Arabidopsis thaliana: one gene and its partner. The protein of the gene in region 1 interacts with the protein of each later gene in a biochemical or structural test. Each region holds a gene or a part of one and is shown on either strand. Other genes may lie near its edges.

What was found.
Region 2: the proteins of DNMT2 (region 1) and HD2B form a complex in vitro, tested with the Arabidopsis thaliana proteins (one study listed by BioGRID).

The regions. Positions count from the first base shown.
Region 1 is NC_003076.8:8,869,276-8,874,164, forward strand, and holds DNMT2 (DNA methyltransferase-2), read right to left. Parts: upstream 2,988-4,889; 5' UTR 2,925-2,987; coding exon 2,844-2,924; intron 2,761-2,843; coding exon 2,650-2,760; intron 2,527-2,649; coding exon 2,433-2,526; intron 2,357-2,432; coding exon 2,238-2,356; intron 2,138-2,237; coding exon 2,015-2,137; intron 1,808-2,014; coding exon 1,388-1,807; intron 1,299-1,387; coding exon 1,233-1,298; intron 1,139-1,232; coding exon 1,074-1,138; intron 867-1,073; coding exon 794-866; 3' UTR 590-793; downstream 1-589. Other genes in the region: AT5G25475 (AP2/B3-like transcriptional factor family protein), read right to left, coding at 116-217.
Region 2 is NC_003076.8:7,532,380-7,537,306, reverse strand, and holds HD2B (histone deacetylase 2B), read right to left. Parts: upstream 3,362-4,927; 5' UTR 3,188-3,361; coding exon 3,175-3,187; intron 2,915-3,174; coding exon 2,844-2,914; intron 2,754-2,843; coding exon 2,545-2,753; intron 2,415-2,544; coding exon 2,335-2,414; intron 2,250-2,334; coding exon 2,098-2,249; intron 1,984-2,097; coding exon 1,903-1,983; intron 1,803-1,902; coding exon 1,694-1,802; intron 1,553-1,693; coding exon 1,426-1,552; intron 1,332-1,425; coding exon 1,253-1,331; 3' UTR 980-1,252; downstream 1-979. Other genes in the region: AT5G22660 (FBD, F-box, Skp2-like and Leucine Rich Repeat domains containing protein), read left to right, coding at 1-377, 461-601, 692-979; emb1211 (MORN (Membrane Occupation and Recognition Nexus) repeat-containing protein), read right to left, coding at 3,666-4,073, 4,157-4,923.

The DNA of each region.
Region 1 (4,889 bases):
ACTGTTCTAGCAACAACATCCAAAGCTATAAACTTGTAACAAAGCAAATTCAATAGAAAGAGTCTAAGAACAGTGAGTAAATATCAAAGGAGGAGTGAGTCATAATTGAAGTTACCATGGATTTAGATTTCCAAGTTTGTCCTGGAGAGAGAGACTTCCAGAAGCAAGGCTTGCTCACATTTGCTTGGATCTTCTCAATAGCATTCTTAGGCAACATTTTTCTTTTCAAAGCTGGATCAGTTCTGCAAAATTAGGGTTTGTATGATGACCTACTTGCATTTGTTCATAAAATTAGAGCCAAAAAATTGGAAAAGTAAAAAAAGAACAAACACTTTGTACGTACAAGGAGGAACAAAATATCTCTGGTCGGAAAAAATGAAGAAAAGTGGCGAAGAAGCAAGTAATAACGTAAAAGTAACGTCCCTAACGACAAACCTTAGGTAGTACCGCCGGAGCGTGAACTTCACGCTCCGTCGCAGTTGAAGAAAACTTCCTCTCGCTGCGGCTGCTCAAATAATTTAAAGTGACTGAGAGAGAGAGAGAGACAGTCAAAAGACTCATGTCTCATGCCAATATTATGGTCACTTTTTACGGAAATTTGGGTAAGAAATTATGATTAACGGGCCGAATAAGGCCCATTTAAAATACTGGCCCATAAAGTTAAGGATCGATAACAAAACGTAAGTTCATCAGTTTGAACTTTATCAGTAAACAAAAAAGTAGTAGAAGCTTGTTCAGGAGAATAACTGATTCCGGTAATTGGTCGCGTCACTTAGTGCATCAAATTGTGTAGTCAAGAATCGAATAGATACCGAAGCAGAGGAGCCACCACTGCTACACTTAAACTGTTTCCAAGCATTGCGTATCTGCACAAAGAGGAGTTCATGAGATTCATGTTCTTGTGTTCAACTATTTCCACATTTCAAACAGGAAGTACGGGAGAAATAAGGGTATTATGGGTTAAATTCTATATTCGAATCAAAACGGTGCCTCTGTTATACTTGGATGCACATAATCTATATAGACAGTAGCTTTTTCTGGCTTAGATGGTGTTGACGGTATGAACAGCGTACCTTTGTCGAAGGCTTATGTGCTTGGGGAACTCAAAATCTTCAGGGAATGAGTGAAAGTTAGCTACCTAAACAAATAGAAACCGAACATCATCTTTCAATGAAATAAAGCTGACTTTTTCAGTGAGGCATTAGTAGTAAAAGTAAAGGACAGTGCTTAACCTCTCTAGGGGTGAAGTATCTAAGCCGTTGCTCCTTCAAACAAGATTCCTTACCCTTGATTTTTGGCTGCGTGATCACAGATTCACGATAAGCATTTCTTTTCACTTTGCAAATACAGAGGAAAGTAATATTGTATACTCCATGGAAGAACGTACCTGGACAGTTGCCAATAGGGAACCTGTGCCCTTCACGTATCGATAATAACTCTTTGTGAAACAACAACATCTCTTTGAATCAGGGTAAACAATGTCCATTGCGTTTCCCCATCTCTCTATCAAACTAACTGGTACTAGATACTGATGTACAGAGTCTGGGACAGAATCGCCTTCTTGTCCACAACAATCTTTGGACCCATTTTCAGAGTCATCAACACTACTTGGCTCGCCATCAACATGTGCAGCTAACTCGAGAAACTTCTCTACTGGTTTGCAAAACTCAAGTAATTTATCCAATCCTTCTTCTGCTTGACATTTTCCAAACTCAACCTGATCATCACGCCCATATAACGGGTCTGGAGACCAGAGTAGTTTGTTATTACTGTGTTGGGACTTAAATGGCAGAGGTTTTCTTTTGGCCTACAAAGACACCAGGTAAATCAAATGATTTCAAAGTTAGTGACGTTTTAACTAAAACAAAAAGATTAACGCATATACATGAGAAAGTGCACACTACATGAGAAAGTTTCATAATCAGCATATACTTATACATTCTCAGACTACTAAAATTAACAGTTTTAGGTACACAGATATGCACTACGCAATCATAAGGTAAAGAGAAAGTACCAGGCAGAAATAACGTGGTCTTGAATACGGCACACCAAACTGCAGCGGACTCAATATAAACTCTTGTGTGACATAATCTAATTTTGTTAATGTACCAATCATTTCCATATGTGTATCCGAAGTCTGCACCAACAAACACCACCAATAAGCAAAAATGTCACGACTTCAAAGAAGATGATCGAGAACAAGTACTCTAGCTGGGAAGCATAAGCAAACACTATACCTCAAATCCAACAACATTCTCTACAAATAACATTTGTGGAGGCTTTGTTGTATGCGGTATAAGCTCAAGAATCCTGAGAAACGAAAAAGCCCGAGCATCACCAGAGTGTTTCTGAAGGCCTAACCAAAAAAAAACTGTTAGTATCCAAAAGCAAGTCATGTTGATAGTAAAGAAAACAACAGTGAAATGAATCACCTTGTCTAGTATAAGGTTGACAAGGAGGAGAAAGAAGCCAAGCATCTGCATTATACTTATCTAAATCAGCAGCAGTGAGACTCTGAATATTCCCCTATGAAAAACAACCAAAACAATAAGAACTAATCATGGACTAAGTCACAGAACTAGCATCATCTATGATTTGCAAATGTAACAATGCTTCTATTGATTATATCATATATAAGCATTAAGCAACCTGATAGGGACGATGTTTGAAATTATGTTGATAAACATCATTAGCAGAATCATTGATCTCAAAAGCTTCTACTACTTCTGAGACGATGCCTGACGCCATTAAAGAGTATCTCTAAGAGCAAAAAGGAATTAGGGTTTATGAGACAGAGTAGACTTCACTAAAAACATAGAATTGGAGGTGAAGGAGACTGTTACCATTCCACCGATTCCACTGTAGAACTCGAGAACTTGCCATGGCTTCTTCTCATTGATTCTCTGTAATTCTTGTTCCGCCATGCTTCTTCTTCTGCTGCTGCTTAAGCAAAATTAATTTGGGAGTTTTTGGTTATTGTTCTTATTCGTTTGGGTAAATTAAACCGTTTTTTTATATTGTTCTGTTTAGTAATAGAACCATACCACGCTTGTTCGGTTTATTGTTAGAACCATGTTTTTTGTTTTTTGTCGTTTTTCTTTATTAATTAGCAAGAAAACCCTCAAACTAGCCAATATGTTTCAAAATAACCCTCAACTTACAAAAAATAAAAAACAATCCTTAACCAATTTTTGTTTTTTTTTTCGTTAACCAATTTTAGTTACCACTGTTTTATATATTAAGGTTAAGGATATGTTATTTTGGGGAATTACATGGCATATCAAACACTTTGCTTTTTAGTATGTGTGAAAGTATGTTGTGGGTTTTTTATGTCTAATCTTTCATTTCATGGGGATATAAAATTAGCTAACAATCAACAAATTAACAAACAAACAAAAAAGACTCTAGCTAACATTGATCTAGGCTGAATCTTTGGACCTTCTAGTGTTCTTCATGTTCATACTATATGAACTTTGATTCCACGTAGGTTTGTTTGGATGGTTTTAGTGAGATTGAAAAGGATTGATAGAAATATTTTATAAGTAATTCATAGTTAGAGTGAGGTACAAAGTTGATTTACAATAAAATTGAGAAAGACCCAAACTACAATCTAGAAATTTAGGAATTGATTTTTTTATTTCGATACGCGAACACGGAACCTACAAACACTATCTATTTGATCTCCATTCATATGCGAGGAATTAATTACTCTTGCATTATTGATCATATGTAAGTAGATAAATTAACTTTCTAAAAACATTTCGGTCGCCATCGTATTAGTTGAGATTTTTGATTACTACTTATGTAAGTGCGGATGAGGTAATAATAAAGTGCAGAAAGTAAAGAGATAAGAAATTTGTTAACGAGGTTCGGTTTTTCCTACTCCCCGGGACCACGTCCAGATTTCGATTTCACTAGAACAAGAAAGCAAATTACAATGAATTCGCAAACGCGTAAAACAAGCACACCCCTCTTGATTTACCGCTCCCTTCTATAAACGTGAAACCTTAAGGATAATCTCTACCCTTAACTAAACTCCCCTGAGTCTAGATTTAATCAGGATAACCTAACCCTGAGTTAAACTCCTTCTGAGCCTAGACTTCAATTCTCCAAGTCTCTGGAATAACCTTCACGCACCAACAAACAAGCTTGATCACACAAGCACCAAACCCGCGAAACTATGTCGCATAAAACCGTGAAACTATGTCGCACACACCCTTAGAAAGCTCTCAATGATTTGTCTTTATGTCTCAGCTCTCCTGCCTCTCCAAGACGTCCTACCTCCTCCTTATGTAGCCAAAACGATTTCCTAATCACCATAGGAGAAGATTTCCTTTTTCCATAAGAAAAAGTAAATTTACTCTTATCCTTTTTCTCATCAAACTCCACTTTCATCAAGTCTTCCAAATCTCTTTAAGTCCTTTTTCTTTTTTGATTCATCCTCTAAACACGCTCTTCTCAAATCTTCTAGAAACCGATACTCACACAAAACTGTCGCATCCTGAATTATTTCTTGAATCATTCAGCAATTTTATCAGATAAAATCATGTATTACTTCTTGTATCATTCAACACTTTCATCAGCAGCAGCTACATCTTCAACTTAGTCCTGTAATTTATTTTCTTAACATACAATTGAATTCAGCTAATCGTCCTTGCGAATGATCAAATGCATAGATAATTGTATCATCCTAAATAAAAGACGTGGGGAAATCATATGACATCTAGAACTTTGGAGAAGGGGGAGATAAGTGATGATGCATGGAAGCATTTCCCAAAGATAATCGAATAGATTCTCTCTTTTCTTTTGTGTTCGTCAGTTTTTCTTTACCATTCCCCGAGACAATATGGTGGGTTTATTAATTATTTTGATTCTTCTATAATTCTTCC
Region 2 (4,927 bases), 1.3 Mb from region 1:
GCCCGGTTCTTGAAGATTTAACTGTTGTTAGAAATGTAGATGAAGCCACTGAGAAGGTTTTAAGGGTGAGCTCTCAGTCACTAAACAGTCTCAAACTCGTTATTGATAGTTCCAAGTGTTGGTATAATGATGATAGTGACGATTGGAAGGTTGTCATTGATGCTCCTCAGCTCGTGTATCTAAGTCTTAAAGATGATCAGTCAGTGAGTTTTGTGATAAACAATTTGTGTTCATCTGCAAAGGCAGATATCAAGGTCAGTTTTAATGTGTCCGATATTTGGGATCTAGAGGAGTCGTTCGAGAGAAGCAATGTCGGTAAATTTCTCACCGGGCTCTCAAGCTTAAGGGACATGACTATTAGTGGAACAACTTTGAAGGTATATATGCATACAAATATATAAAACTGGTCATTTGAATGTGTCTCTTAGGATGAAAACTGCATTTTCTTTGTGTTTTGCAGATCATTTGTCACTACTTGAAGCACGAGCCGATGCCTCAGTTTCGTAACATGACGCGGTTACATGCGAAATTCTATGTTTGTGATTTGGAAATGTTGCCATGCGTTCTTGAGAGCTGTCCAAATCTCAAATCACTTGTCTTGGTAAATGATTTTGCTTTAAAAACCACATGTTTCATTGTCACTGTTATAAAAGACGTTTATTCAACTGTTTGGGATAATTGACATATGCAGAAGCTGAAAGGTGAAATGGAAAATGAAGAAATCAGTCTATCATCATCAGTGCCGAAGTGTTTGCAATCAAGCCTTGAGAATGTTGAGATTATACGACCAAACTATGGAAGTGGAGAAGAGATGAAACTATCAAAATATTTCCTTGAGAATTCGCTAGTCCTCAAGAAGTTTAAGCTATGCAGAGATTGTCATAGCGAGGAACAAGAGTCTCTCGTCGTTAGGGAACTCATGACATTCCAGAGATGTTCTAGTGCTTGTGAAATCAACGTTGTTAGATTTCAAAGATAGGCTTGGTAATTTGATTTGGCTATTATGCATCAATTTTGGTGTTTATACTCTATAAGTAATAAACTCAATTTGTGTTTGCAATTCGAGTCTTCTTTCTCATTTCAGCAAATATTCATATACTGAATTACATAGGAAAGTAGAAATTGCAAATACTCAAAATAGCTCATCCGATAACAAGTTATACTAATAAAATAAGATAAAAATCCAAAACCACACTTCCAAGTGTTTTCATCATCTACTCGAAAACCCAAAACCTCTCCTTGATCCACGTCCTTAAGCTCTACCCTTTCCCTTGCCCTTGTTAGAACCCTTGTTGTTGGAACCACCAAATTGTTTGCCTGAGTTGAATGGCCTGTACACACACAATACCATTACACATCATTACCAATTAACATTTTCACTCATATCTTTGGGCTATGAGAAAGATAAAGAAAGAGACAACTCACTTCTTGTTGTTGTTACCACCGGATGATTGACCTCCAGACTTGGGGCTCTGGTTAGCATTCACAGGAGACTTTCCACCCTTCTTAGCTGGGTGTGGTGTGGCGGTGTGTCCTCCTTTCTTCTTCTCTTCTGTACCAACAACACAATGTGAAGATATCTCTTTCGTCAGAATACAACAGAGTATACAACAAATTACTAAGAAAGCTTTCTCATTATTTAACTATCTAATGCTTCTAAGGAACAAAAACAAAGAGAGTTTCATCTTTTCACCTGTCTTCTGAGGAGTAGAAGCTGGTGCTGCTGCTGGTTTTGCCTTCTTTCCAGAGACGGGTGTTTTGGATACAGATTCATTTGGCCTCTTCTTGTTGATTGGCTCAGGCTTTAACACAAATCATATGATACAATTAAGGTCAGAAGGAGAATTAAATTATGTAAAAAGTAAAGTAAACAAAGAACTGCTTGATAGACAATGTATCTACCTTCTTAGGAGTCTCCTCCTCTTCTTCATCCTCAGAATCCTCCTCCTCGTCATCATCTGAGTCATCTTCATCAACATCCATCTACAAAAAAACATCACCATATAATTTATCAACCAACTACTCATCTTCTCCTGACTGTATATATGAGTACTCTAGATAGAAAAACAGATATCATAAACAGCTACAAAAACTCACTCCTTTCTCAGAGTCATCATCCTCTTCAGACTCATCTTCATCATCAGACTCATCTTCCTCGTCTGATTCAGGCTTCTCTTCTGCAGGCTTCACTTCGGCAGGTTTGGCCTTTGGCTTTGTGTCAGCCTTGACAACAGCTGCTCCAGCATTTCCTGAAATGTCAAAAGAAATTGACATATGAGATAACAACTTTTCAATAAAAGAAACAAATACAATATTAGCATCAACAACACATACCGTTGGCAGTAACAGCAGTAGGGGCAGGAGCAGGAACAGCTTCAGGAACATCCTCATCATCCGAACTAGTGAAGTCATCCGTGGAAACTCAATCAACAAGAATTAAGGAATACACAACCAATAAGACATTGTAGCTAAACCTTCTAGTATCTTCCAGTCTTAAATATAGAGACAAAGAACACCTAGTCAAATCTATCAAAAAAAGGATATTGCTCGATGTTGGGGGATTTGTAGCCAATGAAATGAACATTTGCTTTGGTACCGCTGTGTGAAAGCTCAAACTCTTTATCAAAAACCAAATCAAAGCTAATCTGAGGGAACTTGTCTTGTGAAAGTGTTCCAATAACAAGTTTAGCCCCACCAACAGTCACACTCAAAACCACAGATTCTCCAGATTTCACTGTGCAGTCAAGTGAAGCCTACACATAAAGAAAGAGAACCAAAACATAAAGAGACTGTATTAAGCTAAATCCTAAAAACTTTATACAGTTTGGAAGTGTGAAAATAACCTGAGAAATGTGGACAAGGCTGTCTTCTTCAGGAGTCACCTTAGTAGCGTTTTTTGGTGTCACCGCAACTCCTAAATAACATTATACAAAGAAATCAAACATGAGTCACTCATCAACTTGTAAAACATCTACACATAATCAAAGCTGATACCGAAACCAAGCTCTATGTGAAACCTAAACCCTAAATAAGCTACAAAGGCAACAAGGTATGAACATATACACGAAATACAGCTAAATACGATCTTATATGAACAATCGATCAAAATTCTCGGAACGTGGAAAATAGAAACAGTAGACGGAAGATATAAGAGGAATAAATAAAGAATCTTACCCCAGAACTCCATTGTTGTTGAACGAGGAAGAGAGAAGAGAGGTTGTTAGGTTTTTTTTTAGAAGCGAAAGAGAGAAATTGCAGTGAAAGAGGCAGTGGGTTTGGGGCTATTTTATAATCGAATGAGGTTTAAGAAGTCTCTTTAGGGTTCTTCGAGAGTCTACACGGCGTCGTTTTGCCCTTAATTTCGTAACGCTTCCTTTATTTTGGAATATTTGCGTTAATGTAAAATTATTTGCATATTTGGTAAAGATTCTAAATTGATAAATGAAATATTAACTTAAATATTCTGAGATTATTCGATTCTCATTCTCTAAATCATATGATTATGAAAAATAAAACAGAAATAAATCTTCAGTTTTTTCGTTTAAATAGTTTCGGTAAAATATTTATTAGATAATACAACAAAAATTCAAATGATCTTGTCCACCAAAAAAAGAAGCCTTGAAGTGCATAAGAACTCGAGCTAAATGCTACAGAAGAAGAGAGACTCAAGACACAGCAGGAGTCTCAGCAAACAAATCAGAACATTTTGTCTGAATTTGCAGCGACAAAACCACGCTCATGTCCCCAACCGGTGTTTCCCAGAGGCCGGAGTCTTTGAGGTATTCACTGGAGCTGCTATCGGGAGGAGAAGAAGATGATGATGCGTTGCAAGAAAGTAGTCGTGATAGAGACATTAACTGAGACTGAGATCTTGAGCTTCCATAGCTTCTCTGGACACAACCTCGGTTTGCTACCTTTCCCATCTTCAATCTAGCATTGTTACTCGACAATGGAGGAAAATGGATTGAAGCTGATGCGGTATCAGCACCTTTGATGATTCCTGTGTTCACTTTTGATGGTTCTGCTCGATGTTGCTTCCATGCTAGAAATGAGCTTTCTAGTCTTGATTGTACCTGCCAAGTTTACATATATCAACACTAACTTCTTCTAATCGAGACAAACCGAGATTATACTGAAAAATAAGAGAGAGTATTACCGCAGGAAAGAGGGTACACGAAGCAAAAGACAATGAGGATGAAGAAAAAGGAGAATTCCTCCTTCCCTTGTCTGCAGATCCAAAACTTGATGGCCCAAGATCATCATCATCATCATCATCGTCATCATCATCACCATCGTCATCATCCTCATCATCATCATCTTTGTATTTCTCTTCTTGTTTATTCTCTTGTATCTTCTCTTTGGCAGTGACAACTTTCTCTTCTTTATAAACCGGGACCAAAACATCTTCATCCTCTTCAGTTAAACCCATTTCAGTTTTCTTTTCCTCTTCTTGTTCTTTCTTCTTCAATTCTTCATCCATATCTTCTATAGCTTCCTCTAAGCAAATCTCAGCCTCTACTAACTCAAGTTCTTGCTGTATCATCTCCTTTCTCTCCTCATATGCTTTCTTTTTCTCTTCTGTCCATTTCTCTAATCCGTCAAGCATCGGCTTCACCGATTTCTCGATTCCAAGTACAAAGCTTTTTATTGGGTGTTCCTTTTTCACTACCACTTCTTTCCCATAGAACTCGTCGAACCCAAGTGGCAGAAACTCAACTTTTGAAGGATCCACTTCTTCTCCTTCCTCCAGAGGAGGCTGCCAAAATAGTCGAATGCCATGCTTTTCATCCTCTACATAGTTGATTATTCGACCTGTTGGTGTATGTAAAATAACAGGGTCCTCCTTCTGGACAAGTTTTGAAGGATCATTTGGATCAGGTTCAGGTTCTTTGTTCAGTAAAACAAACTCCGGTGTCACCTCCACTGA